Anolis sagrei: one gene and its partner. Each later gene encodes a partner of the first gene's protein in a complex. Links are inferred from orthologs where the notes say so. Each region holds a gene or a part of one and is shown in the gene's direction. Other genes may lie near its edges. The genes, in order: WRAP53 and GAR1.

What was found.
Region 2: WRAP53 (region 1) and GAR1 share a complex: the UniProt entries of both Homo sapiens proteins name them as parts of the telomerase holoenzyme complex. The link is inferred for Anolis sagrei from reciprocal best matches to the Homo sapiens genes WRAP53 and GAR1.

Annotation. Positions count from the first base shown.
Region 1 is NC_090026.1:5,545,858-5,561,307, forward strand, and holds the start of WRAP53 (telomerase Cajal body protein 1), read left to right. Parts: upstream 1-8,407; 5' UTR 8,408-8,455; intron 8,456-8,468; exon of another isoform or gene 8,469-8,492; intron 8,493-8,504; exon of another isoform or gene 8,505-8,578; intron 8,579-13,290; 5' UTR 13,291-13,456; coding exon 13,457-13,728; intron 13,729-14,217; coding exon 14,218-14,316; intron 14,317-15,450. Other genes in the region: thialysine N-epsilon-acetyltransferase-like, read right to left, coding at 2,435-2,536, 5,194-5,277, 6,009-6,060, 6,349-6,414. UniProt on the Homo sapiens protein: RNA chaperone that plays a key role in telomere maintenance and RNA localization to Cajal bodies. Specifically recognizes and binds the Cajal body box (CAB box) present in both small Cajal body RNAs (scaRNAs) and telomerase RNA template component (TERC).
Region 2 is NC_090025.1:31,123,204-31,138,232, forward strand, and holds the start of GAR1 (H/ACA ribonucleoprotein complex subunit 1), read left to right. Parts: upstream 1-7,583; 5' UTR 7,584-7,638; exon of another isoform or gene 7,639-7,692; intron 7,693-11,261; 5' UTR 11,262-11,270; coding exon 11,271-11,475; intron 11,476-11,558; coding exon 11,559-11,713; intron 11,714-13,038; coding exon 13,039-13,098; intron 13,099-14,437; coding exon 14,438-14,573; intron 14,574-14,858; coding exon 14,859-14,936; intron 14,937-15,029. Other genes in the region: CFI (complement factor I), read right to left, coding at 430-580, 1,181-1,436, 1,591-1,653. UniProt on the Homo sapiens protein: Required for ribosome biogenesis and telomere maintenance. Part of the H/ACA small nucleolar ribonucleoprotein (H/ACA snoRNP) complex, which catalyzes pseudouridylation of rRNA.

The DNA of each region.
Region 1 (15,450 bases):
CGAACTGCTGACCTGTCAGTCAGCAGTCCTGCCCACACAAGGGTTTTACCCATTGCGCCACTGGGGGCTCCATAGTCCACCCAGTGAGTTTCCATGACGGAGCAAGGATGTGAATCTTGGTCTCCAGAGTAGCATCCCAATATTCAAGTCGTAATAGGACACTTCCAATAGGTCATCTTCCTTTATTATTTGGGGATTCTGGGAGCTGTAGTCCTAAATAAATGTTTCCTCAAGCATGCCAACCTTAGGTACACCTTATGTATGTAGTACTTGTTTGCACTTCCGCTACCTTGGCAGCCACCTCTCCACCAAAGTCAACATCGACACCGAAATACAACACCGCCTGAGCTCTGCGAGTGCAGCATTTTCCCGAATGAAGCAGAGAGTGTTTGAGGACCGGGACATCCGTAGGGAGACCAAGGTGCTTGTCTATAGAGCTATTGTCCTCCCAACCCTGCTCTATGCCTGCGAAACGTGGATCTGTAATTGGTTAAGTGGACGAACACAGAGAGTGCTCACTAATGCTTCCTTTTCATCTTGGAAAGAAGTGACAAGTGGAGTGCTGCAGGGTTCTGTCCTGGGCCCGGTCCTGTTCAACATCTTTATTAATGACTTAGATGAAGGGCTAGAAGGCAGGATCATCAAGTTTGCAGACGACACCAAATTGGGAGGGATAGCCAATAGTCCAGAGGACAGGAGCAGGATTCAAAACGATCTTGACAGATTAGAGAGATGGACCAAAACTAACAAAATGAAGTTCAACAGTGACAAATGCAAGATACTCCACTTCGGCAGGAAAAACAAAATGCAAAGATACAGAATGGGGGACAATGTCTGGCTCGAGAGCAGTACGTGTGAAAAAGATCTTGGAGTCCTCGTGGACAACAAGTTAAACATGAGCCAACAAGGTGATGTGGCGGCAAAAAAAGCCAATGGGATTTTGGCCTGCATCAAGAGGAGCCTAGTGTCTAGATCTAAGGAAGTAATGCTCCCCATGCTCTATTCTGCTTTGGTTAGACCACACCTGGAATATTGTGTCCAATTCTGGGCACCACAATTCAAGAGAGATATTGACAAGCTGGAATGTGTCCAGAGGAGGGCGACTAAAATGATCAAGGGTCTGGAGAACAAGCCCTATGAGGAGCGGCTTAGGGAACTGGGCATATAAGAAGAGAAGGCTGAGAGGAGATATGATATCCATGTATAAATATGTGAGAGGAAGCCACAGGGAGGAGGGAGCAAGCTTGTTTTCTGCTTCCTTGGAGACTAGGACGCGGAACAATGGCTTCAAACTACAAGAGAGGAGATTCCATCTGAACATGAGGAAGAACTTCCTGACTGTGAGAGCCGTTCAGCAGTGGAACTCTCTGCCCCGGAGTGTGGTGGAGGCTCCTTCTTTGGAAGCTTTTAAGCAGAGGCTGGATGGCCATTTGTCAGGGGTGCTTTGAATACAATATTCCTGCTTCTTGGCAGAATGGGGTTGGACTGGATGGCCCATGAGGTCTCTTCCAACTCTTTGATTCTATGATTCTATGATTCTATGACTGTCTACAGACGTCACATGCAACTCCATCAGCGCTGCCTCTGGAAAATCCTGCAAATCTCTTGGGAAGACAAGCGGACAAACGTCAGCGTGCTGGAAGAAGAAAAGACCACCAGCGTTGAAGCGATGGTCCTCCGCCAACAACTCTGCTGGACTGGCCACGTTGTCCGGATGCCTGACCACCGTCTCCCAAAGTAGTTGCTCTACTCCGAACTCAAGAATGGAAAACGGAATGTTGGTGGACAGGAAAAGAGATTGAAAGATGGCCTCAAAGCCAACCTTCAAAACTCTGGCATAGACACTGAGAACTGGGAAGCCCTGGCCCTTAAGCGCTCCAGCTGGAGGTCAGCTGTGACCAGTAGTGCTGCAGAATTCGAGGAGGCACGAGTGGAGGGCGAAAGAGAGAAACGTGCCAGGAGGAAGGCATGTCAAGCCAACCCTGACTGGGTCCGCCTTCCACCTGGAAACCAATGCCTTCACTGTGGGAGAAGATGCGGGTCAAGAATAGGACTCCACAGCCACCTACGAACCCACAAAAATAGTCATCAAGGAAGACCATCTTACTCATCCAACGCGGGATCGCCTAAGGAAGTAAGTAATTAAGTAAGTACATTTTTGCACTTTGGTGATAGCATTTGCCAGTCTGAAAACACCCCTTTTTTTGAGACTATAGTTCCCAGAATCCCCCAGCTTGGGGATCATGGGAGCTGTAGTCCCCAAAGGCTAATGAATTAACCTGCCTCCAGCCTATCTTTCTGCTCCCAAATTCCTCAATCTTCCCCTTTTACTGACTTAATTTCCATTGATTATTCTCTCCCCAACCCTAGGAGTCTATTGGGAAGCGAGAAATGCACTCTGCACATGCTTCAGGATCCCTCGCTTCTTGCATACCTCTGTACTCTGGCATGACGTAGAGGTCTTCTCCAAAGAGAACAGGGCCGTCCCAGGTGCAGTAGGACAAGTAGTGGAACTGGTACCCAATAATCGTGTGGCCTGCAAAGAAAGAAAGACGAGGTTGCAAACCAAAGTCTCCATCGACAGGTCGCAGGTTCGAATCCGGGGAGAGGCGGATGAGCTCCCTCTATCAGCTCCAGCTCCTCATGCGGGGACATGAGAGAAGCCTCCCACAATGATGATAAAACATCAAATCATCCGGGCGTACCCTGGGCAACGTCCTTGCAGTCGGCCAATTCTCTCACAACAGGAGCAACTTGCAGTTTCTCAGGTCGCTCCTGACACGACCAAAATAAATAAAAATGTAATGTTCGTTTGTGGGATTAACAGAACTCAAAAACCACTGGACGAATTGACACCAAATTTGGACACAAGACACCTGACAACCCAATGTGTGTCCTTCACTCAAAAAAAAATTGATTTTGTCATTTGGGAATTGTAGTTGCTGGGATTTATAGTTCACCGACAATCAAAGAGCATTCTGAACCCCACCAACGATGGAATTGAACCAAACTTGGCACACAGTTCTCCCATGACCAACTGAAAATACTGAAAGGGTTTGGTGGGCAGTGTCCTTTGGTTTTGGAGTTGTAGTTCACCTACATCCAGAGAGCACTCTGGACTTAAACAATGATCTGGACCAAACTCTACACGAATACTCAATATGCCCAAATGTGAACACTGGTGGAGTTTGGGGAAAATAGAATCATAGAATCATAGAATCAAAGAGTTGGAAGAGACCTCATGGGCCATCCAGTCCAACCCCCTGCCAAGAAGCAGGAATATTGCATTCAAATCACCCCTGACAAATGGCCATCCAGCCTCTGTTTAAAAGCTTCCAAAGAAGGAGCCTCCACCACACTCCGGGGCAGAGAGTTCCACTGCTGAACGGCTCTCACAGTCAGGAAGTTCTTCCTAATGTTCAGAAGGAATCTCCTCTCTTGTAGTTTGAAGCCATTGTTCCGCGTCCTAGTCTCCAAGGAAGCAGAAAACAAGCTTGCTCCCTCCTCCCTGTGGCTTCCTCTCACATATTTATACATGGCTATCATATCTCCTCTCAGCCTTCTCTTCTTCAGGCTAAACATGCCCAGTTCCCTAAGCCGCTCCTCATAGGGCTTGTTCTCCAGACCCTTGATCATTTTAGTCGCCCTCCTCTGGACACATTCCAGCTTGTCAACATCTCTCTTGAATTGTGGCGCCCAGAATTGGACACAATATTCCAGGTGTGGTCTAACCAAAGCAGAATAGAGGGGTAGCATTACTTCCTTAGATCTAGACACTATGCTCCTATTGATGCAGGCCAAAATCCCATTGGCTTTTTTTGCCGCCACGTCACATTGTTGGCTCATGTTTAACTTGTTGTCCACGAGGACTCCAAGATCTTTTTCACACGTACTGCTCTCGAGCCAGGCCTCCCCCATCCTGTATCTTTGCATTTCATTTTTCCTGCCAAAGTGGAGTATCTTGCATTTGTCGCTGTTGAACTTCATTTTGTTAGTTTTGGCCCATCTCTCTAATCTGTCAAGATCGTTTTGAATCCTGCCCCTGTCCTCTGGAGTCTTGGCTCTCCCTCCCAATTTGGTGTCGTCTGCAAACTTGATGATCATGCCTTCTAGCCCTTCATCTAAGTCATGAAGAAAGATCCTGAACAGGACCGGGCCCAGGACGGAACCCTGCGGCACTCCACTTGTCACTTCTTTCCAAGATGAATCTTGACATTTGGGAGTTGTAGTTGCTGGGATTTATAGTTCACCTACAATCAAAGAGGATTCTGAAAACCACCAACGATAGAATTGGGCCAAACCTCCCACACAGAATCCCTTTGACCACCAGAGTGGGCCACAGCAACACATGGCAGGGGATGGCTAGTAGAATCATGGAATCCTAGAGTAGGAAGAGACCTCATGGGCCATCCAGTCCAACCCCATTCTGCCAAGAAGCAGGAATATTGCATTCAAATCACCCCTGACAGATGGCCATCCAGCCTCTGTTTAAAAGCTTCCAAAGAAGAAGCCTCTACCAAACTCTGAGGCAGAGAGTTCCCCTGCTGAACAGCTCTCACAGTCAGGAAGTTCTTCCTAAAGTTCAGGTGGAATCTCCTTTCTTGTAGTTTGAAGCCAAAGAAGGAGGCTCCACCACACTCTGGGGCAGAGAGTTCCACTGATGAACAGCTCCCACAGTCAGGAAGTTCTTCCTAATCTTCAAGTGGAATCTCCTTTCTTGTAGTTTGAAACCAAAGAAGGAGGCTGCACCACACTCTGGGGCAGAGAGTTCCACTGGTGAACAGCTCCCACAGTCAGGAAGTCCTTCCTAATGTTTAGGGTCTCCTTTCTTGTAGTTTGAAGCCATTGTTCCGCATCCTAGTCTCCAGGGAGGCAGAAAACAAGCTCCCTCCTTTCTATGACTTCATCTCACATATTCATAGCTATCATGTCTCCTCTCCTACCGGATGTTAGGAATTATGGGAGTTGAAGTCCAAAACACCTGGAGGGCCCAAGTTTGCCCATGCCTAGTATAAGGTATATTATGAGAGCCAGTAAGGATTTAAGTGACTGATTTGGATTGCAAAACCAGGTTTTGAATGTCTGCTTGGCTATGGAAACTCACTGAGAAACTTTGGGACAAGTCACACTCTCTCAGCCTCAGAGTTATCCCAAATATAGTAATCCAGAATGGTTTTCCCGCCCTGATCGTACCTCCTTTGGTCTTTTCTCCCGGGGGCAGCTCAGCAACCAGGCACCCGAAAGTGGGCTCTTTCCCAAAGCCATCTTCTTGGAAATCTACCAATAAATAAGGCAATGTTAAGCACTATATATAAAACATATGCATTTACATAGCTTCGTACGGTTCTGGAATTGACAAAATATGAATGGCCTTTCTTGAAAGCCACACGGCATCAAAATATATGCGTTCAACATCAAAATACACAATTTTCTACAATTCCCAGGATCCCATAGTTTTGAGCATTTGTGGGGTGAAGCTGCATTAATTCTATAGTGTAGATGCACTCGTTGTATGCTAGGGAATCTGGCTTTGAGCTTCGTTTCTTGCAAGTTGGTTAGAAGCCATAGCAAAACTCCAAATAACTAGAAAAAATGTATTGTCGAAGGCTTTCATGGCCGGAAAGGAGGTAACCATGAAAATGAACAAAATTTGGCTACTCTAAAATTGCAACAGCACAACAACAGAGAGGAAACAAACAAGGACATCTAATTACCTCTCAACAAAAGTTTGCTCCAGGCACAGTCAGCCCATTGTATGCTGATCAAGATGGTCAGTTGAAACATTCACACTTAGCTCCAGCAGACAAGAGTCCTTTGTCCCACCCTGGTCATTCCACAGATATATAAACCCTTTTTCCTAGTTCCAACAGACCTCACTACCTCTGAGGATGTTTGCCATAGATACAGGCGAAATGTCAGGAGAGAGTACCTCTAGACCATGGCCATACAGCCCGAAAAAACCTACAACAACCCAACTAGAAAAAAAATAAATATAAGCCATTCCTTACTTTTTGTGGTGGTCGTCACTTGGTCCAAAGCTTTGTGGAAAGCCGCAGATTCCTGGAAAGAGAGTAAGTTGTAATGGAAATGGAAATGAGAAAGGGGTCTCTGGAGGTCATCTAGTTTGACCCTCTCCAAATGCGTAAAGCCCAGAACCCCAGAGAATTCCTCAATTGATCCCTGTTGAGAATTGGAAGGTGGGGGAGGAGAGAGAGAGATACACCTGGAGTACAAAACCCATCATCCAGTATGACACACCAAGGGGAGTATGGGTTTTGTAGTTGAGGCACATGTCCAAATTGTCATTCTGATGCCAAAACAGAGCTTTAAACCCCTGAAATTTCTCACCCGAATAAGCCGCATGACCTCCTTAAGATCCCTTACGGCCCAGGGACGGATGATGCAGTTCATCATGGCTCTGATCTTGTCTCCTTCCAATTTGGACTCTGATCTGGTTAAAGAAAGCTGACTCCAGTTAAAAACTAAGCGTTCCCCTTCAATGGGCACCCCCTCCTTGCACCTATTAATTTTGGTCAGTTATTAATTTTGGGGATACGCTTGGAAACCCAACAAGGAAGATGGATCCATAGCAAGGTTCAAAGGGTGCTGTTGTACTTAGTTTTGGCCCCAGAAGCTGGCATATAAATGAGTTACAGGGTTGGTTAGTGATGTAAATGGACTTTCCTTGGCTTGTTATAACTCTCAATGGCTCTTGGAAAATCTGTTAAGCTGGAACCCATCTGTATTGCCATGTAATGCAGTGTGAAACTGCATTGTATGGTCAGTACAGACTCATATTATGCCATTCAATGCAGATTCATAATGCCATTCAATGCAGGTCCCCATCTACACTCCACTATATAATGCAATTTCATAATATGGTTAACTGCATTACATGGCAGATATATATACTAGCCATCCCCTGCCACGCATTGCTGTGTTCCAGTCTGTATATATGTGTTTTGTGTGTGTGTATATATTTGAGGAGCCTTCTAATCAAGGTGAAAGAAGAAAGCGCAAAAGCTGGGTTGCAGCTGAACATCCAAAATCCAAGATTATGGCAACAAGAATGATTGACAACTGGAAAATTGTGGGAGAAAATGTGGAGGCCGTGACAGGGTTTGTATTTCTAGGCGCAAAGATGACTGCAGATGCAGACTGTGGCCAGGAAATCAGAAGACGCTTCCTTCTTGGGAGGAGAGCAAGGTCCAGTCTCAATAAAATAGTAAAGAGTAGAGACATCAGACTGGCAACCAAGATCCATTGCCTAGTCCAAGCCATGGTCTTCCCTGTAGTCACCTACGGATGTGAGAGCTGGACCTTAGGGAAGGCGGAGCGAAGGAAGATCGATGCTTTTGAGCTGTGGTGTTGGAGGAAAGTGCTGAGAGTGCCTTGGACTGCGAGAAGATCCAACCAGTCCATCCTCCAGGAAATAAAGCCTGACTGCTCATTGGAGGGAAGGAGACTAGAGACAAAGTTGAAGTCCTTTGGCCACATCATGAGGAGACAGCAAAGCCTAGAGAAGGGAATGATGATGGGGAAAGTGGAAGGCAAAAGGAAGAGGGGCCGACCAAGGGCAAGATGGATGGATGGCATCCTTGAAGTGACTGGACTGACCTTGAAGGAGCTGGGGGTGGTGACGGCCGACAGGGAGCTCTGGCGTGGGCTGGTCCATGAGGTCAGGAAGAGTCGGAGACGACTGAACAAATGAACAACATATATTTGTGCATATAGAAGATGTGTATATAGATAGATAGAAGAGATAGATATAGATAGAAAGGTAAAGGTTTTCCCCTGACATTGTGTCTGACTCTGAGGTGTGGTGCTCATCTCCATTTCTAAGCTGAGCCGGCGTTGTCTGTAGATAACTCCAAGGTCACGTGGCTGGCATGACTGCATGGAACACAGTTACCTTCCCGCCGGAGAAGTACCTATTGATCTACTCGCATTGCATGTTTTTGAACTGCTAGTTTGGCAGAAGCTGGGGCTGACAGCAGGAGCTTACCCCACTCCCTGGAATCCACTCCCTGGATTCCCTTTCGGTCAGCAGCTCAGTGCTTTAACCCACTGCAGAGATAATAGATATGGCAGCATGGATGGAGCCCTAGTGTTTAGAGCTCAGGGCTAATCTACACTGCAGATTTAATGCACTTTGATCCCACTTTAGCTGCCATGGTGCAATGCTATTTAGTCCTGAGCACTGTCATTTGGTTCTCTTTAGTGTAGAACCTAAAATTCCATAGCATTGAGCCATAGTAGTTGAAGTAGTGCCAAACTGCATTACTCCCAGATGCATCCACGTGGGTGTGTTTTCTAGTTCCTGTTGCCCTTTAAGGAGTGAGGTCTCGCGAGAGCTCTACGCCCTTTCGCCTGGCTCCCGCGAGATCTGGGTGAGCCAGCCGGGAGGAAAAGTGGGCGGAGCCAGGGGTGTCATGGCGGCCTCCACAGTCCCCACGTGAGTTTGTGTTTTGATCTTGCTAAGCAGAGAGATTGTAAGTTTTGGGGACACTTTTCCCTCTTCTCTGCATTCTCTGGAGCAGATAAAAGGAACTGCTCCAGGGAATCCGCATGTAGAAAGGTATTAATTACAGTATCTGCATTATTGTTTGGCATTATTAACTGATATCGTTGATATTCTAATTGGGGCCCTCATTGCTATTGCGTAGAACTTAGAGAGGGATCCATCTTAGTTTGCTTTCTTGTAAAAGAGAAAAATGAGGAGTCTTGTGTTGTAATAAGAAATTCAGTGTGCAAATTTGATAAATGTGAATTTAAAATGATGTGTGGGAATGAATGGAAGGATGTATGGATAGAGCTAATAATTTTGGAAACACCAGTATAATATTAAGGCCTGCAATGACTAACTACCTGCTTGCTGGACTTGCTAATGAGAAACCCTGATAAGAACTGGGACAGTGATAAAGGAAATGTTTGCAACATGCCTTATGTTAAGAAGGAAGTCTTGTGTAAGATCAACACTAAGCCTTGTGTTTGTTAACACCAATCAAGAAGATCAACACTGAGATGGATCCAGGATGGAAGACGTCTATCATTAATTTACAACTTTGGGACTACATCAACAGAATTTTCCTATAAAAGACTCAGGCTAATAATGCTCAAATCGTGACAGACCGAGGAGTCTGATCCACCCGCCATGCTCTGCTCCATGGGAAGGACAGAGGTGGTGTATTCAGAGAGTGCCAGATATGCTATGGGAAAGCATGATTCTGGACATTTTGGGGCTTCTTTCTCAAGGGAAGAGGAAGAAGTGCCCTTTTGGAGTCTTAGATTTTATGCAGGGAGTCAAGTTCTGCTGTATGGAAAACAGAGGTCTGGTCCTTGGCACTGTTCTTAGGGAAAGAAGTTTTGGCATCTCAGCGTTTGAAGTTATGGAACTATGCGTTGGTTTGTTGTTGTTCATTCGTTCAGTCGTCTCCGACTCTTCGTGACCTCATGGACCAGCCCACGCCAGAGCTCCCTGTCGGCCGTCACCACCCCCAGCTCCTGCAAGGTCAGTCCGGTCACTTCAAGGATGCCATCCATCCATCTTGCCCTTGGTCGGCCCCTCTTCCTTTTGCCTTCCACTTTCCCCAGCATAATTGTCTTCTCTAGGCTTTGCTGTCTCCTCATGATGTGGCCAAAGTACTTCAACTTTGTCTCGAGTCTCCTTCCCTCCAATGTGCAGTTGGGCTTTATTTCCTGGAGGATGGACTGGTTGGATCTTCTCGCAGTCCAAGGCACTCTCAGAACTTTCCTCCAACACCACAACTCAAAAGCATCTATCTTCCTTCGCTCAGCCTTCCCTAAGGTAGGCTGCAGGAAAGCAGGGTCTGGCCTAAGAGGTGCTTCTCCAAGGAGGGAGAAAATGATATGGTAATATTTGGATGCATGTGGATGAATGCATGTACATGTGTGTGAATGCTGAGTGAAAATGTAATTCTCCTATGTTTGTTTGTTAACCAATGTAATTGTGAATCCAATGTAGTTGCATAGAATCTGTATGTCTGTATGTCCAATGTAATTCTTTGTCTAAATGTTTTCTATAATCTGATATATCTTCTCACACTGGAAATTGCAATAAAAAGAACCTATGCTTCAAAGTTATTGAAAAGTCATTCATGACAGTGTCGCTCTTAAGTCTAACCAATGTGTATATATCTTATGGTTTTAATGTGTTTTCATCTTATGCTTGTATTTTAATATATGCATTAAAATGATGTTATGTTTTCACTATTGTACCCCATCTGTGGCCTAGAGAGTCATAGAAAAATATTTATTATTTTATTATTTATTTACTACATTTTTACCCCCCTCTTCAAAAACCCCTGTGGGGGGACAGGGACTCAGAGCGTCTTATACTGGCAACAATTCGATGCCCCAAATATAACAAATAACAGCAATTCAATTCAAGGTGCAGGTGCTCACCTACAAAGCCCTAAATGGTTTGGGACCCGACTACCTGCATGACCGCATCTCCATATATGAACCCACATGATCCCTTCGATCATCTGGAGAGTCCCTGCTCACAATCCCACCTGCGTCGCAAGCGCGTTTGGTGGGGACGAGGGACAGGGCCTTCTCTGGTGGCCCCCCGACTCTGGAACTCTCTCCCCAAGGACATCAGACAAGCCCCAAAGTTGGCAGTCTTTAGGAAGAGCCTGAAGATTTGGCTGTTCCAGTGTGCCTTTCCAGAATAGGAAACTCCTGGCATCATGTCCCAAATGCACTTTGTTAGAGATTTAGGATTGTCTGCACATTGCACCTACCTCCAAAACCTCTACATTTCACCTGTCATATCCAGCACTTTTAAATTTTGTTCATTACATTGGCCCGGCCTTAGGTTTTAAATGCATCATGGTGTCATTGTTTTTAGTGTTTATTTTTGCTTGATGTTTATTGTTTGCTTTATGAGTTTTACTGCTGTATTGTTATGTTGTTGTTTTGTTGGCGGCCTTGGCCTTTGTAAGCCACATTGAGTCCTTCAGGAGATGTTAGCGGGGTATAAATAAAGTTAATAATAATAATAATAATGATAATATAAAACAATGAATAGAACAGTAGATTAAAAATCGTTAAGCGTTATTATCACATGCTACTCTGCTGCTGAGTATGCATGCCCGGTGTGGAACACATCTCACCACGCTAAAACAGTAGATGTGGCTCTTAATGAGACATTATTATGAGGGAATCCTTTCTAATATTTAGGCACAACTTGTTCTCTTGTAACTTGAATCCACTAATTTGTGTCCTAGACCCTGGAGCAGCATAAAACAACCTTGCCCTTATTTACATGACATCCTTTCTGGTATTTAACGATGGACCTGGGAAGGAATCCTGGGAGTTACCCTGGACAGTTATCTGACCTACAAGAAGCACTGCTTGAATATCAAGCAAAAAGTGGGTGATATCATACGAAAGCTGAATGGCATAACCTGGGAATCACAGCCAGATACAGTGAAGATATCTGCCCTTGCGCTGTGCTACTCTGCTGCTGAGTATGCATGCCCAGTGTGGAACACATCTCACCACGCTAAAACAGTGGATGTGGCTCTTAATGAGACATGCCACATTATCCCGGGGTGTCTGCGCCCTACACCACGGGAGAAATTACACTCTCTAGCAGGTATTGCACCACCTGACATCTGCCGGGAAGAAGCAACCAATAGTGAAAGGACAAGGCAGTGACATCTCCAGCTCATCCCCTGTTTGGGTATCAGCCAGCACGTCAACAACTTAAATCCAGAAATAGTTTTCTAAGATCTACAGAGACACTCGCTGGAACACCTCAGCAAGCGAGAGTCCAAAAGTGGCAGGCTCAAACCCAGAACCTCAACCAATGGCTGATACCAAATGAGAGACTCCCCCCTGGGCACACAGAAGACTGGGCGACTTGGAAGGCGCTGAACAGACTGCGCTCTGGCACCACGAGATGCAGAGCCAACCTTAAGAAATGGGGCTACAAAGTGGAATCCACGACTTGTGAGTGCGGAGAAGAGCAAACCACTGACCACCTGCTGCAATGCAACCTGAGCCCTGCCACATGCACAATGGAGGACCTTCTTGAAGCAACACCAGAGGAACTCCAAGTGGCCAGATACTGGTCAAAGGACATTTAATCAACTACCAAGCTTGGAAACTTTGTGTTTTGTTTGAGCCTGCCACTTTTGGACTCTCGCTTGCTCAGGTGTTCCAGCGAGTGTCACTGTAGATCTTAGAAAACTATGTCTGGATTTAAGTCGTTGACGTGCTGGCTGATACCCAAACAGGGGATGAGCTGGAGATGTCTCTGCCTTGGTCCTTTCAGTAATGGCTGCAACTTCCCGGCGGATGTCAGGTGGTGCCATACCGGCTAAGCAGTGTAATTTCTCCAGTGGTGTAGGACGCAGACACCCCGTGATAATGCGGCATGTCTCATTAAGAGCCACATCCACTGTTTTAGTGAGATGTGTTCCACACTGGGCATGCATACTCAGCAGCAGAGTAGCATAGCGCAAGGGCAGATGTCTTCACTGTGTCTGGTTGTGATCCCCAGGTTGTGCCAGTCAGCTTTCGTATGATATTGTTTCTAGCACCCACTTTTTGCTTGATGTTCAGGCGGTGCTTCTTGTAGCTAAGAGCACGGTCCAGAGGGACTCCCAGGTATTTGGGTGCGCTGCAATGCTCCAGTGGGATTCCTTCCCAGGTAATCCTCAGAGCCCGGGATGCTTGTCTGTTCTTGAGATGAAAAGCACATGTCTGTGTTTTACATGGGTTAGGTATCAGCTGGTTTTCCCTGTAATAGGCAGTAAGGGCACCTAGAGCTTCGGAGAGCTTCTGTTCTACCATCCCAAAGCTCCCTGCTTGAGCGGTGGTGGCACAATCGTCAGCATAGATGAACCTCTCTGTCCCTTCTGGCAGTGGCTGTTCATTTGTGTCGATGTTGAACATGGATGGAGCAAGCACGCTCCCCTGAGGCAGGCCGTTCTTCTGTTTCCTTCATCTGCTTCTCTGGCTCTGGAACTCAACAAAAAAGCTCCTGTTTTGTAGTAGGTTTCCTATGAAGCAGGTGAGATGGTAGTCCTTCGTGATTATTATACATTTTTCTCAGGAGGAGGCGGTGGTTCACAGTATCATAAGCTGCTGACAGGTCTATGAAGACAGCTCCTGTGATCTAATGCCTTTCAAAGCCATACTGCAAATAAATAAATAAATAAATAAATAAAAGGTGGGGTGGTCTTGCTACTGAATTTTGTGATGATACCCAGAGGGATTGGATTTGAGCTTCTCTTGCTTCTTTTGTTTGATCCGCAGGGACATCACTCCATCCTGGCACTCTCCATTTCTATGCAGGGATGCATGAAGCACCTGATGCTGTCTCCTCTTCAAGCTCTGGTGGGAAACCTGTCTTGGACTTGGACAATAAATATCCCAGTCCTGCCTCTTAGAGTTTGGGTTTGGATCCTGGAAGTCTTGTGCGATGGAGACTCAACCGTCTTCTGACAATCCGGATGTAGTCAATACGGACCCGCCATCAGGTGTGGAACCAGATGGAGATGTGGGACCATTTCCAACCGTGCCAATGCAGATTGGAGATCCAGGAAATGAAGAGGGTTCGGCTGAGATGTTTTCTGGAACTGACCTCTCAGGAGGAGAGCCCCAGTTGGAAGATGTTAAGCAGCCTTCAGAGCAAGGACCAGAGGAAGAGAAGAAGGAAGAACATGAACCTTCGACAGAAAGAGGCGAATATTAGTGAGTTATGGATGTTCTCTTGTAGTCTGCTCGATGGAAACAGCTCAAATTAGAGTACATCTACACCAGGCATGGGCAAACTTGGGCCCTCCAGGTGTTTTGGACTTCAGCTCCCACAATTCCTGGCCTCAGGCCCCTTCCTTTTCCCCCTCAGCCGCTTAAGCGGCTGAGGGGGAAAAGGAAGGGTCCTGAGGCCAGGAATTGTGGGAGTTGAAGTCCAAAACACCTGAAGGACCAAAGTTTGCTCATGCCTGGTTTACACTGTAAGTTCAATACACTTTAACATTACTTGAACTGCTTTGGAATGCTGAGATTTGTCATTTGGTGGTGCACCAGCCAAAGAAGGGTAAAGGCCTTGCAAAACTATAACTCCCATGACTGCATCGCTGTTAGGAATGGTGGGAATTGAAGTCATGAAGAGTCAAAGTTTGCTTATGCCTGATTTAGGTAAACACTTTGCACGTGATTTGCTTTTTGCTTCTCTCCTAGCCTTCCAGCATATGACTTCTCCCAGCCTCCCAGACTTCTGACGGGCTCTTGGGCCGAGTACGGCCGCATGCCGGAAAACTTCTTGAAGGGATGCAAATGGTGAGTAGGTGGCCTGGATAGAGGGTTCTAATTGTACCTTGTTCCCTGTTCTTGCTATTTATTTTATTTATTGTGTCAGGAGCAACCAGACATTTGTATTACATTTTTAACAAAACAAACAAACAGATAAAACACAAAGTTTGCAAGCTTGGTAGTTGATTAAATGTCCTTTGACCAGTATCTGGCCACTTGGAGTGCCTCTGGTGTTGCTGCAAGGTGGTCCTCCATGGTGCATTTGGCAGGGCTCAGGGTGCATTGCAGCAGGTGATCAGTGGTTTGCTCTTCTCCACACTCGCATGTTGTGGATTCCACTTTGTGGCCCCATTTCTTAAGGTTGGCTCTGCATCTCGTGATGCCAGAGCGCAGTCTGTTCAGCGCCTTCCAAGTTGCCCAGTTTTCTGTGTGCCCAGGGGGGAGTCTCTCATTGGGTATCAGCCATTGATTGAGGTTCTGGGCTTGAGCCTGCCACTTTTGGACTCTCGCTTGCTGAAGTGTTCCAGCAAGTGTCTCTGTAGATCTTAGAAAACTATGTTCTTACTATGGAAGGGTCCATGAAGGGTGATGAATCTGATGGACCAGACACTGAATCTCATTGGTGGTGTTGCTAATGCCATGTGTGATAAATTCCCTACCTTTTAGGCCAGCGTAAAGCTCAGGAAATAGGCCCAGTTGTTTTGGCAGCCATTTTATGAAATGCCTGGGAGCAGCCATTTTAGGATTTTCTAGGGGAGGTGGAGCTTAGAAGCAGCCTGGAGGGAAATGAGTACCCTGTTGAAATCACAGGTCCGCAGTCTGGGTGTCCTCCTGGACTCATCGCTTACGCTTGAAGGTCATGCGTCGGCGGTGGCCTTTGCACAATTAAGACTCATGCGCCAGCTGCGACCATATCTCGTGAAGGCGGATCTGGCCAGGGTGGTCCATGCCTTAGTCACCTCTAGATTGGACTACTGTAATTCACTCTATGTGGGGCTGCCCTTGAAAACAGCTCGGAAATTTCAGTTGGTCCAACGGGTGGTGGCTAGGTTGTTAACTGGTGCTCCTTTCAGGGAGCGGTCAACCCTCCTGTTTAAGGAGCTCCACTGGCTGCCATTCATTTTCCGGTCCCAATTCAAGGTGCAGGTTCTTACCTACAAA
Region 2 (15,029 bases), on another chromosome or scaffold:
CACATTAAGTATTATCACTGTTTGAAGGACAATATATACCAGCTATTTCTGGCTTTAACTTCCTCAGTGGTCAAAGAGGAAAGAGTCTTTGCAAGAGTCTTTGAAACATCTCTGCCTTCTAGCTGTTAGGAATTATGAGAGTTGCAGTCCAAAACACTTGGAGGGCCAAAGTTTGTCTATACCTGAGTTAGAGTGCATGTATATGATTTCGCAAGTGCCAGGTAACCCAGACTTGTTAAATGAAGGCTCACCATGATGGGAACTATTATAAAAATCTGGGGGGCACAGGGTTAGGAAAGATTGCTTTTATCTATAGCCAAGCCAACACAGAAGATTCTGGTACTTTGCTAATTAGTGGTGCTATCTTTTAAAGATCACAGTAATCAGCTTCAAGATCCCTCCATTCCACTTTGTGCAAGAATTTCTTACTCTGGAAAATTAAGCTCCTTGCAGGCTACGTTGGCCTCTTGTATACCCCATCCTTCTCCACATATAAATGCCTTCTCAGAGTCTTTCAATTCGACTTGAACAATTCCTTCTGAAGATGTATTTTTAGGTTCCAAAAGAACTCTAAAAGTCTCTATAAAAAAGAAAATATATTACAATTTATACTCATTCAATATATGAAAATTGATCAAAATCCACAAGTAGCCTACTAAGGTAATTGTACTCAAGAAAAGAACTAGAAAATATAGAATTGGAATTGGAAGAGACCACAAGGGCCATCCAGTTTAACCTCCTGAAATGCAGGAACACACAACCAAAGCACTCCCAACAGAATAATTGCTGAACTAAATGTAATTTACATATATTGCTAAATTAACATGTCATAAGAATCCATTTGTAAGTAAAAGTAAAAAGTCCCAATGAGATATTGTGCCTATTACAAATAATGCATGTGCCCCTTACTCTGCTATTCAAATCAAGACCTCATTGGGTTGTTGTAGGTTTTTTCGGGCTGTATGGTCATGTTCTAGAGGCCACATTCCTCTGCCCCCAATGCTAGTTCTTTGCAAACAATTGTGTAAATTTGACCTATATAAAAATATTAAATGTTGTTTCACACATTTAGTGAAACATTGAAGATTCCAATCTGCTTTCATTCTCCATCCTAAAAGCTTGTCCCTCTCCATACCAATGATTGATATAAAACCCCAAAAGAGAAACAGAATCTTTTTACCTTGAAGGTTGCAGCTTCCTCTGTGCATAAACTTGCCCTTTTTACGTTGGCATTCATAGCTTTTCAGCTGACAGTAAGTTCGGAAAGTTGCCTTGTCGGTCGTACAAACTGATGTCCCATTTTTGGGGCATTGGTAGGGCAGCTTACAGAGACAGGTCCCTTTTACACACCTCTGCCATGGATGGCAGAAAACCTTCGCACAGGAATTCTGAGTATAGCTCTTGTTCACACATTCTTCTACCAGGTCTGTCTCTTGCTAGAAGAAAGAAACACTTTTATGTAACATTTATGTGTATTGCAGATCCATGACAGATACGTTCAAAGATATAAATCAAAATAATAAACAAAGTACTGAAAATAAAAGGTTTCTTGCCACTAAACTAGAGATTTCATTTAAAACAAAATCTTACCTTTTGTCCAAAAGCACAAAGTAAAAAGGATAAAATGAACACCAGAGGGGTCAATGGTTTCATGGTGAAGAGCTATCTTTATATCAGAGAAAGTCTTTTCTCTAGAATTCTTCCCAGTTTCAGGTTTGTGTTTAATGATCAACCACTAACAAATATTTGGGAAAAGACAGTTTTGAAATCAAGTGTGGGAAATTCCGCTTGCATTCATGACTCCAAACTCTTTTGGAAGATCTTCCTGTTTGTTTCTTTCTAGCTCCAAAAAATGAGAAGAGAAGCAAGAAAATAAAGGTCTGGAAGATCTCAGTAGGCGTTTACTGATCTGTGTTTATCTCTCATGTACCAGTCTCTACACTTTCATATTATTAGGGAGTTACTTCCTGATATCTACTTCTATGGGACAGCTGCAAAGCACAAAGGAAGCATGATTTGCATATTTCTCTGAGTGCAGGATGGATATTTCAAACTGTGCTTGGCTGGTTGCTCAATTCTTTAGTAAACGGACTGAAAAGAAGCATTGTGTGTTGTTCAATAATAGGAGTGCCAATTTCCGGGGTCAACAGGTCAACACAGGAAAGCATAACATATGGTACCTGCTCAACAAATAATGGGACTTTCCTAGCACACTTTTAATTCAGAATAGCAGCAGGGAAAATGGTAATACGATTTCATTTTTTGAACGACAGTTCAGAAAGGGTTTGGACAAGAGGTCCCATATGGCTTTCTGTACTGCATACATGAAAATTCTTCTGTGTTCTTTTGGGGAACAGTGCAGGGCAGGTGAAATCTGATGTGGAGGAAGAAATGCAAAGCTGCTATCTCTCAGGAAGGGGAAAGTTTGTTTTTTCCTCCCCTTCAGTATTTCAGAAAGGGAAAGCCAAACAAATGAGTTCCCATGGAAGAATAAGGTCCTGTCTGGTCTTGGAAGCTAAGCAGGTGGAATCCTGGTTATTATTTGGATGGGAGACCACCAAATGTGTTGCATGCTTGCAGGTGTGAAGGCAGACTAAATAGTCCTAGATAATCTACTTACCCAGACACCAATGGAGCTGAAATACAACCATATGTTTCAATATCTTGCTCATGAATTACACATTGGAGATTGAGCAGAAATAATCCCATATAGCGAGAGTGAACGAGGGATATATTTTATACCACTTTCTTTACAGCCCAGTGGTTTTATAGAAAGAGAGGAAAATCCAAGACAATCTTAGTAGGCTTCACCTCCCTAGGGATCTTATTTTAAAATGTTGGAAGCTGCTTTGGGTCCGAATTGTGAGAGAAAAGCGGCATATAGGTAAATAATAATAATAATAATAATAATAATAATAATAATTTGAAACACAACAAGATGAGTCCACAGCAGACACTCTGCTGGCTGTTGAATTGGATCACATGTCGGACACTTCCCAAGTGTCTAGGACTGTGTGATGTATCGGCAAATAATGCGTGCAGATCCCAGTAAGGTGGCCTTCTGCAGCTGGCAGATGATAATTTTGTCAGCGCCAATTGTGTTTAAGTGCAGGCCAAGGTCTTTAGGCACTGCACCCAGTGTGCCGAACACCACTGGACCACCTTTACTGGTTTGTGCAAGAGTCTTTGCAGTTCAATTTTTAAATCCTCATATCGTGTCAGCTTTTCCAGTTGTTTTTCTGCAATCCTGCTGTTACCTGGGATTGCGACATCAATGATCCATACTTTGCTTTTTAACACGATTGTGAGGTCAGGAGTATTATGCTCCAAAACTCTGTCTGTCTGAATCCGGAAGTCCCAGAGGAGTTTGGTGTGTTCATTTTCTGTAACTTTTTTCGGCTTGTGATCCCACCAGTTCTTTGTCGCAGGCAGATGGTATTTGTGGCACAAGTTTCAATGAATCATCTGAGCAATGGTGTTGTGCCTCTGCTTGTAGCCTGTCTGTGCGATCTTCTTGCAGCAGCTCAGGATGTGATCTATTGTTTCATCTGCTTCCTTGCAGAGTCTATATTTGGGATCTGTTGTCGACTTTTCAATTCTGGCTTTGATGGCATTGGTTCTAATGGCTTGTTCTTGGGCTGCCAGAATCAGGCTCTCTGTCTCCTTTTTCAGAGTTCCATTTGTGAGCCACAGCCATGTTTTTTCTTTGTCAATTTGGCTCTCAATTTTTCCCAGGAACTGTCCATGGAGAGCCTTCTTTTGCCAGTTTTCTCTTCTGCTCTGGATTGTGTTTTTACGGTATTCCCTCTTTGTCTTTTGCACTTTAAGCAGTTTACTACTATTGACTTCCCTCAACGTTGGTTCTTGACTGCCTTTCACATAATCTGCCAGGGCGTGTTTCTACCATTTGTTTCACTTGCAGAAGCCCTCTGCCTCCTGATTTTCTGGACAAGTAAAGTCTGTCAATGTCACTATGCGGGTGTAATGCGTAGTGGATTGTCATCAGTTTTCTTGTTTTTCTGTCCAGATCATTCAACTCTGCTTCTGTCCAGTTCACAATCCCACCAGTGTATCTAATGATGGGGATGGCCCAGGTGTTGAGAGCCTTGATCGTATTTCCGCCATTTAATTTGCTCTTCAAAACCTTTCTGACTCTTTGGATATATTCTTTGCTGACCAAATTTTTCACTTGACCATGCTTGATATTGTCCAGTTGTAGTATGCCCAGATATTTATAGGCTTCAGGCTTGTTGTACTTTATGGTTTGTCCGTTTGGCATCTCTATGCCCTCGCTTTGTGTAATTTTCCCTTTCTTTAATGCCACTGTGGCACATTCATCTAGGCCAAATTCCATACTGATGTCAGTGCTGAAGATTCTGACTGTTGGTCAGTGACTCGATTTCAGTTTCTGATTTTCCATAAAGCTTTAGATCATCCATGTACAACAAGTGAGAGATTTTTGGTGAATTTCTTGCTGTTTGGTAGCCTAGGTTGTTTTTATTTATTTATTTATTTATTATAAATTTTTATTGAATTTTATATAGTTACAGCGAAAGTGGGGGAATAATATAAGATAGAAAAGTAGCAAAAAAGTAGGTTATTTTTATTTATTTATTTGTTGTTGTTATTATTATTATTATGGCAGCGCTTGTGGGATGTTAAAATTGAATGGTATCAATTACAAATATAGATGCTGGGTCAAGATTAGATCTTGAATCACTTGTTTTGGCATTTGCCTGAGAAACGTGCAGCACTAAAACAGGAGGCAGGATGTGAGTGTTTACATTAGGCTTGCTCTTAATGTCCCCAAACATCTGCATGGAAGACAGATCTTTGAGCATTAGGCACGAGGGGCCGAAGAGGGCTCTGTGACCAATTTTAGCTGAACACACCCACAAAGCCCCCACTTTCCAATTCCTACCACCCTATACATTGGAAAGTAAACAAAATTTGGCTACCAGTATTTAAAAAACTTTAAAATCAGGACAGTAAATAAAGAACAACACTCAAAAAAAGGGGGATTCCAGACAAGAAACAATCAGGGTCAGCTAATCACCTCCCAACAAAGGATTCCCCAGGCAGGAAGCAACCAAGCTTTGAAGCTGCAATGCTATTCAATGCAAATCAAGGTGATCAATTACAACATTTGCACTTGCCTCAAACAGACAAGAGTTCTTTCTCCAGCACTGGACAATCCACAGATACAGAAAACCCACTTGCCTAATTTCCAACAAACCTCTGAGAATGCCTGCCGTAGATGAGGGTGAAACGTCAGAAGACAATGCTCCTGGAACATGGCCATACAGCCTGGAAAAACTCACAGCAACCCAGAAAATCAGACAAGTTTATGTGGAATGACTCTGAAAACCAGGGTTTGAATCCTCACTTAGCTGTAGGAACCGACTGTGATTGAGGGCAAAGGTAAATCTCCTGTGAACCAACTTTGCCAAGAAAACCCTATTTTAGAGTCATTGCAGGTTGGAAACTGTCATAACTCACCTTCTGGAGTCAGATGATTGAGAACAGAGGAGCCAGATGTCCAGGCATGTGCATCTCCTGATGATAGGAGAAAGCAGGGAGCTTTGCACGAAATGGAGGATGTTGAAGATATGCCACCATCCTTTTCTTAACAAAAATGAGGTAGAGATTGTGATGATCCTGGCAGCTGTGACATAGCTGATTAATTAGGCACCTGGTGTTTTGGAGGTATTTGACCATAGAATCTACCAGCAGCCCTCCCCCATTTTTGTTCTTCACAGCTATCTTATCTATGTGATTGATAATACTCTCCTGGCATTTGTGTTTTCTTAACCTTAAACTGGCTATATTTTTGACAACTCTGTTTACTGCTTGTTGGCCCAGGAGATGCCTTGATGTTTTGATGTGTTACCATCCTTGTAGGAGGCTTGTCTCATGTCCTCATGTGAGAAGCTGCAGCTAACAGATGGGAGCTCACCCCGCTCCCTGGATGCGAACTTTTGGTCAGCATTCCTGCCGGCACAAGAGTTTAACCCATTGAGCCACCGGGAGGCATCATGACCATCAACCATGTGTTTGACTAGTCTTACATTATTGAGTGACACAGATTTGGAAGCCCTCCAGATGTTTTGGATTTCAACATATCCTTGGAAGCATCCATGCGGATCCCATTTCAAACTACGTCTCTACGTCTGTCTCGGCATGGGCAAACTTTGGCCTTCCTCCAGGTGTTTTGGACTTCAACTCCCACAATTCCTAACCGCCTAAAGTTTGCCCATGCTTGATCTAGACCAGTGGTTCTCAACCTTCCTATTGCCGAAACCCCTTAATGCTGGGGTCACCTCATGTTGTGGTGACCCCAACCGTAAAACTATTGCTACTTCATAACTGTCATTTTGCTACTGTCAGGAATCATAATGTAAATATCTGATATGCAGGATGTATTCTCATTCACTGGACCAAATTGGGCACAAATACTCAATATGCCCAAATTTGAATACTGGGGGGGGGGGGGGGGGGTTGATTTTGTCATTTGTGAGCTGTAGTTGCTGGGATTTATAGTTCACCTATAAACAAAGAGCATTCTGAACTCCACCAACAATGGAATTGAACCACACTTGGCACACAGAATTACCATGACCAACAGAAAATATTGGAAAGGTTTGATGGGCATTGACCTTGAGTTTTGGAGTTGTAGTTCACCTACATCCAGAGAGAACTGTGGACTCACACAACGACGGATCTGGACCAAACTTGGCATGAATATTCAATATGCCCAAATGGGAACACTGGTGGAGTTTGGAGAAAAATAGACCTTGTCATTTGGGAGTTGTAGTTGCTAGGATTTATAGTTCACCTACAATTCAAGAGCATTCTAAACCTCACCAATGACAGAATTCTCACCCAGAATCCCCATGACCAACTGAAAATACTGTGTTTCCTGATGGTTTTTGGCAACCCCTTTAACACCCTCTCGTGACCTGGCAGGGGTCCCGACCCCCAGGTTGAGAAACACTGATCCAGACATTATAGTGCTATATAATTTTTTTTCTGAAATCCAAAAAAGGCAGCAATTTTAACCTTATTTCTACCTAAGCTTTATTTGCTTTTACTTGCATTACACAGTAATAATTAATCTAATCAATGGCATTGACTAAAATGGCATTGGCTTTTTATGCTGCTGCATCACACTCTTGGCTCGTCTTGTTGGATAATCTGAAACATGCCTGGACTGAATTAAATACTTTGCAACTCTTGCATTCTAACGTTCTGATGCTAAATGAAGCAATATTTGTAGTTATTAATGCTTTTGAGGACTTGCCTTTAAAAAGTGGGCTTACTGTTTAGTGTCAGCAACTCATTTCTGATTTGTTGCAACCCTAGCTGGGTTTTTGTTTTGTTTGTTTTTAAGGCAACATTGACTTAAAAACTTCTCAGTCTGCCAAACTTTGGGAATATAATCCTGGCTGAAAGTGGAACGAGAGCCGGAAGTGACAGTCGCTCTCAAAAGACCTTACCTCTTTGATCATTCTAGCCAATAGATTCGCAAAGGGAGAGAGGACTCGCCGACAAGCGGAAGGAGCGTGTCGAGAACCCAGCTTGGGATTGGCCGGGCAGCGGGAAAGCGACGCTGTTCGTTGACGTCATCAGAAGCGGCCGGTGCGTGTGTGTTGGGGACCACGTGGGAAGCCAAAGGGGATCTTTGTGCTCAAGGTACCAGAAAAGGGTATTTTTTTGGGGGGGGGGGTGGGGGGGTGGTGTCATATATTCATTGATTTCTACGGAATTTTGCCATTCCTTACTTTAAACTATTTAGCTGGATCCAGTCTAGAGGTGCGTCCACATTGTTGAATTAATGTGGTTTGACACCACTTCAACTTCCATGGCCCAATGCTGTGGAATGCTGGAGTTTGCAGTTTAGGCCTCTTCCACACAGATGTGCAAAATCCCAGATTATCTGCTTTGAACTGGAATATATGGCAGTGTGGACTCAGATAACCCAGGGCCCTTCCACACAGCCCTATATCCCAGAATATTGGGGCAGAAAATCATAGAATCAAAGAGTTGGAAGAGACCTCATGGGCCATCCAGTCCAACCCCATTCTGCCAACAAGCAGGAACGTTGCATTCAAATCACCCCTGACAGATGGCCATCCAGCCTCTGCTTAAAAGCTTCCAAAGAAGGAGCCTCCACCACACTCCGGGGCAGAGAGTTCCACTGCTGAACGGCTCTCACAGTCAGGAAGTTCTTCCTCATGTTCAGATGGAATCTCCTCGCTTGTAGTTTAAATCCCATATTATCTGAGTGTGGATTCGGATAACCCAGTTCAAAGCAGATATTGTGGGGGTTTTCTGCCTTGCTATTCTGGGATATAGGGCTGTGTGGAAGGGCCCCCAGTCAAAGCAGATATTGTGGGATTTTCTGCCATTATATTCTTTATTATAGGACTGTGTGGGAGGGCTGCTCTCTTTGACAGAGAAGGCTATTGCTGTTGTTCATTCGTTTCTGGCTCTTCGTGACCTCATGAACCAGTCCATGCCAGAGCTCCCTGTCGGCCGTCACCACCCCCAGCTCCTTCAAAGTCAATCCAGTCACTTCAAGGATCCCATCCATCCAACTTGTCCTTGGTCAGCCCTCTTCCTTTTTCCTTCCTTTTCCCCCAGCATAATTGTCTTCGCTAAGCTTTCCTTTCTTCTCATGATGTGGCCAAAGTACTTCATCATGGCCTCTAAGGCTAAGGACCTTGTAAAACTACAACTCCCATGATTCCACAGCATTGAGCCACGGGAATTAAAGGGCCCTTCCACACAGTCATATAACCCAGAATATCGTGGCTGAAAATCCCACACTATCTGCTTTGAACTGGGTTATTTGAGTCCACACTGACATATATTCCAGTTCAAAGAAGAAAATGTGGGATTTTACTCAGCTGTGTAGAAAGGGCCAAAGTGGTGCCAAACAGAATTAATACCACTCTGTAGACCAGGAGTTCTCAAACTTTTTAAACAGAGGGCCAGATTATAATTTGGAAAAAAGATGAATGAATTCCTATGCACACTGCACATATCTTATTTGTAGTGCAAAAAACACAAGCAATAAATACAATAATTAAAATGATGAACAATTTTAACGAAATATAAACTTATTAGTATTTCAATGGGAAGGTGTTTTTTTTTTTTGTTGTGTCAGGAGCGACTTGAGAAACTGCAAGTCGCTTCTGGTGTGAGAGAATTGGCCGTCTGCAAGGACGTTGCCCAGGGGATGCTCGAATGATTTGATGCTTTTATCATCCTTGTGGGAGGCTTCTCTCATGTCCCCGCATGAGGAGCTGGAGCTGGTAGGGGGAACTCATCTGCCTCTCCCTGGGTTCGAACCTGCGACCTGTCAGTCTTTAGTCCTGCCGGCACAGGGGTTTAACCCACAGCATCACCGGGGGCTCCTTCAATGGGAAGTGTGGGCCTGCTTTTCACTGATGAGATTGGGTTGTTGTTGTTGTTGTGTGTTTTCAAGTTGTTTAAGACTTAGGTTGACCCTGAGAGAGGGCCGGGTAAAGGACCTTGAAGAGCTGTATCTGCCCCCCGAGCCTTAGTTTGAGGACCCCTGGTATAGACACACATTTCAACCCAAGAGATCAGGGTTTGAGTCCCAGCTCAGCCCTGGAAACCCATTGGGAGGACTTGGGCAAGACATGCTCTCTAAGGCTGGATCTACACTACCATATGATGCAGTTTGAAATGGTCAGTGTACTGTAAACACATATAATGTATTTTAACTGCATTGAGCTGCATCTACACCAGGTCTGGGCCAACCTTGGCCCTCTAGGTGTTTTGGATTCCAAATCCCACAGTTCCTAACAGCTAATAGGCTGTTAGGAATTGTATGAGTTGAAGTCCAAAACACCTGGATGGCCAAAGTTTGTTTATGCCTGGTGTACTCTATTTGTCTACCCCTACATGACTGAAGGCACACAACAAAAACAACATTTGTCTGTGTTTATATATACATACACATATATGGAGTTTATTTCCAAAAGGTACCAAATCCACCTGAACACATGCTGAGGATGTTCATTCTTTTGCTATAAAATGCAATTTCTCGAACCCTGCACTGAGGTGATTTTGTTGTTTTGATATGTACACAATATTCCAAGCATAGCCAACAATGGGTTCAGTACCTTTTGGAAACAATGTCCACATATATATGCAAACACAGGTCATCCCAAAGAGTATACCCCCTTTAACAACTAATAATAGCCATGGTGATGATGTGAAGGCTAAGTAAATACATTCATCTCAAAGAATGAATGTTGTTACAATGATTTAATCAGAATAAAAATTCCCACTTGGCCATAGAAACCCATAGAGGAAGGCAAAGGCAAAATCTCTCTAAACAAATATTGCCCATTGTGATAGATGGATAGATAGATCAGGCTTGCCGCAATTCAGAAACGAAGTGAAAGCACTCCTCTTTCTAACGTTTTGGTATTTCAATACAACAAATTCCATTGTACACCCAATCTTGATACCTAGCAAAAGCTGGATCCGCACTGCCATATCTACATATCTATGTTTTAATTTAATTCCAAGCTGCTGGGAATACTGGAGTGCTACCTATTTGTTTTTGTTACAAAGCAATATGATGAATTTCTCCTGACGTTTCGCCTGCATCTATGGCAGGCTTCCTCAGAGGTCTGACCTCTGAGGAAGCCTGCCATAGATGCAGGCGAAACGTCAGGAGAAATGCCTCTAGAACATGGCCATATAGCCCGAAAAAACCCACAAGAACTGAGTGATTCCGGCCATGAAAGCCTTCGACAATACAATATGATGAAGTTTACACTAGTAGATTTTGCATACGTTAAGAATTGTTATTATTACATTTTTGTCACAAAGTGGATCACAACATTAAAAAACAGCACTATTATTTTTGCAGTGTTTACATTTTTGCTGTTTCTCATAGTAAAACAATGGTTCTCAACCTGTGGGTCCCCAGGTGTTTTGGCCTACAACTCCCAGAAAACACAGCCAATTTGCCAACTGTTAGGATTTCTGGGAATTGAAGGCCAAAACATCTATGGACCCACAGGCTGAGAACCACTGCTCTAAAATATAATTTCAGTGAGCACTGAGCTTCTGGAAAGGCTTACAAAGTGCTGTCTGCTGGATTGTTTTATAGACTGTTCTGTGTTACCCATAACACCAGCTAATGTGATTGGCACAGTGAATATTATAGTTCTTTGCTAGAAATGTGTTGCTTTTGTTGCTATTTTTCTGTTGAACAGAAGGGAGGGATGTCATTTCGAGGAAGAGGAGGGGGCAACCGTGGCGGTGGATTCAACCGAGGCGGAGGCGGCTTCAATAGAGGTGGATTCAATCGTGGTGGTGGAAGAGGTGGCTTTGGAAGTGGAGGAGGACGAGGAGGCTTTGGACGTGGAGGAGGACGAGGAGGCTTCAACAGGGGTGGATATGATCAGGGACCCCCTGAAAGTGTAGTCAGTAAGTGGTATGCACTTCTAATGGAATTGGAAGAAAATATTGTGGCAAATATTGTGACTGACTTCTTACTGTTTCTTTTGCAGTTCTGGGAGAATTTATGCACCCTTGTGAAGACGATATTGTTTGCAAATGTGTCACTCAAGAAAACAAAGTGCCTTATTTCAATGCACCAGTCTATTTAGAAAATAAAGAGCAGATTGGGAAAGTGGATGAAATATTCGGGCAGCTCAGAGACTTTGTATCCTTTGAGTTATTAAACACTTATATCCCATCCTATGTCACGCAATGGGTTAAACTGCTGAGCTGCTGAACTTATTGACCAAAAGATCGGTGGCTCGAATCTGGGGAACAGGGTGAGCTCCTGCTGTTAGCCCCAGCTTCTGCCAACCTAGGAGTTTGAAAACAAACAAATGTGAGTACATCAATAGGTACTGCTCCAGCAGGAAAGTAACAGTGCTCCATGTAGTCATGCTGACCTTAGAGGTGCCTACGGCCAACGCCAGATTTTCAGAAATTGAGATGACCCCTGACCCCCCCCCCCCCCCCCCCCCCCCAGTCAGACACAACTAGACTTAATGTCAAGGGGAAATCTTTACCTTTGCTATATCACAGGATCTCAGAATAACATATAGTGTAAGTAGTTTAAAACATTTCTGGAATAAATGTGAGTCATTTACACAAAATAAAAACATATTAAAGTAACAGTTAAAGCCACTATAGAACTGTAGTTTAAATCTATTTGCATGTATACTTGAAATATCTTCCTAAATATTCATATATAAATCAACTTGCCATATAATCCAGTTCAAAGCCAAATTGTCTATGATAGTGTAGAGGGGGCCTCAGAAATGGGATTTCTCAAGTGTAACAAAATCCTTGACACTGAAATGTTCTTCTCATGGTGATTATTTAGTCTCCATTGCATTTTAAGATTTATCGTTAATATCTTCTCATTATTTTCTGTATTGATTTTTTTAAAATGGGAGTGATAGTACACAATGATAGAGATCATTCCTAAAAACAAACAGGAAGAAGGGTATTGTATTCCTCAAGTTCTCAGAATTTCCATAGTTTATTTTCTAATTTAATTATTTAAAAGGCAGAAATTAGTTTTATTCAGATTTAGACCCCCTTCTACACTGCCATATAATATCTAGGTTATCTGATATGGACTGATTATATGTTATACACTCATATATTGTTTGTTTGTTTATTATATTTATATATTGCCTTTCTCAGCCCGAAGGTGACTCAAGGTGGTTTACAATCAGCATAATCGAATGCCCCCAACAACATAAAATATAGTTAAAACATTAACATATAGTATAAATCATATAAAAGCAATAAAAACAATAAAACACACAGTTCAAAGCAGATAATGTGGATCTGGAGTGTATGGCAGTGTCGAAGGGGCCTTAGAGTAAACACACTGAAGTCAATGGACTATAGCCAGTTACGATTAATAAGTGTGACTTGGGCTTTGTGTAAGAGTTAACCATTAATATGCTTATGGAGGAGATATAAAATGCTTTTTCAAGTGATTTCCTTAAGCAAATCTAATAGTATTTTTCAGTCAAACTGTCAGACAATATGAAAGCGTCTTCCTTCAAAAAACTACAAAAGGTAAGGTGAAGTTTATCTTCAATAAATGTAAACCTTTGACTAACTTACTAGATTTGTTAAATAATATTTAGTCATTAATAACTGAATTACAAATAATAACATGTTGATCAATTGATTTGTAGTCCACAAAACTCTGGGTACAGCAATAGAAAGAGAATGGTATGAGAATGATAGAATCCTAGAGTGGCAAGAAACCACAGGGCCATTCACTCCAACCCCCTGCAATGCGGAAGACAAAATCAAAGCACCCCTGACAGATGCCCATCCAGCATCTGCTTAAAAATCTCCAGAGAAGGAAACTTCACCACACTCTGGGGCAGCATATTCCACTGCTGAATAGCTCTTACTGCCAGGAGATTCTTCCCAATGTTTAAGTGGAATCTCTTTTCCAGCAATTTAAATCAATGGTTCTATTTCCTAGTTCTCAGAGCAGCAGAAAACAAGCCTTTCCCCCTCCTCAGTGTGACATCCTTTCAAAAATTTAAACATGGCTATCACTTTCCCTCATAGGTTTTTTTTAATCCCTCCAAACTACCCAGCTCCCTAAGCCATTTCTCACTGGGTTTAGTTTCAAACCTTTGATCATTTTGGTCACCCTTCCCTGGATATATTCAGGTTGTCAGTATCCTTCTTGAACTGGTCACAGTATTCAAGGTAAGGTCTGATTAAAGCAGAATAGAATGGGTCTATTATTTACCACATTTGTACCCTGCCCCTCTCATTCCGAAGGGGACTCAGAGTGGCCTTACAAAGGCAACAATTCAATGCCACATAGATACATATCAATAAAATAAACAAATGCATTAAAATACAAACAGTTAAAAACATCAAATATTATGACTTTTTAGGCTGAGGGAGGTCTGTGACTTCCCTCAGTTTCAATATTATACTCCTATTAATGCAGCCTTGAAGGCTTTTTAGCTGCTGCATTAAACTGTTGACTATTCAGCTTGTGGTGTACTAAAACTCCTAGATCCCTTTCACATGTACAGTCATCTGTACATTTGATGAGCATGCCTTCTGTTCCATCATCCAATATTTTCTTCAATAAAAACAAGGTTAATTTAATTTGACAGTTGAAAGATATGTTGTCGAAGGCTTTCATGGCCGGAATCACTGGGTTGCTGTAAGTCTTTCGGGCTGCATGGCCATGTTCCAGAAGTATTCTCTCCTGACATTTCACCTGCATCCATGGCAGGCATCCTCAGAGGTTGTGAGGTCAGAGGTTGTGAATGATACTGTAAAACTGAACTGTACATCTCCAATTTTAAGACATTTTATGTATGCAAACATGATATTGAAAGAGTTGACAAATTGTAATAAAAGCCTTCTGTTTCAGTTTTATATCGATCCAGCAAAATTACTCCCTCTGCAGAGGTTTTTGCCAAGGCCTCCTGGAGAGAAAGGACCTCCTAGAGGCGGGAGAGGAGGCCGCGGAGGAAGAGGAGGAGGCCGAGGAGGTGGTAGAGGCGGAGGTAGGCTGCCTTCGTCCTTGCATTTGTTCAGAGCACCCTTTGCCAGTCTGATGCTTTCTGAGTGCATTGAACTATAACTCTTGCAATCAGCTTGGGGGATTGTTGAGTCATCATTAGATGCCCCTGAAAGGTTTTTTTTTCTAAATCGGGCATGGGCAAACTTTGGCACTCTGGTAGGCTGTTAGGAATTGTGGAAGTTGAAGTCCAAAACATGGTTTATATCAATATTTTTATTTACTACCAAAAAAAATCTTAACTTCCTTTCCTGTGTTCTCTTATTTCTAGGTGGTTTCAGGGGTGGCAGAGGCGGTGGAGGGTTCAGAGGAGGACGAGGCGGTGGAGGTGGTGGCCGAGGGTTCAGAGGTAAGCATTTTCATATTAATTTAGCAATGGTGATTTTTGAAATAGGTAACCTGTAGTATTGTTTCTGTTCTGAGGAATGTTTAGTACTGTATT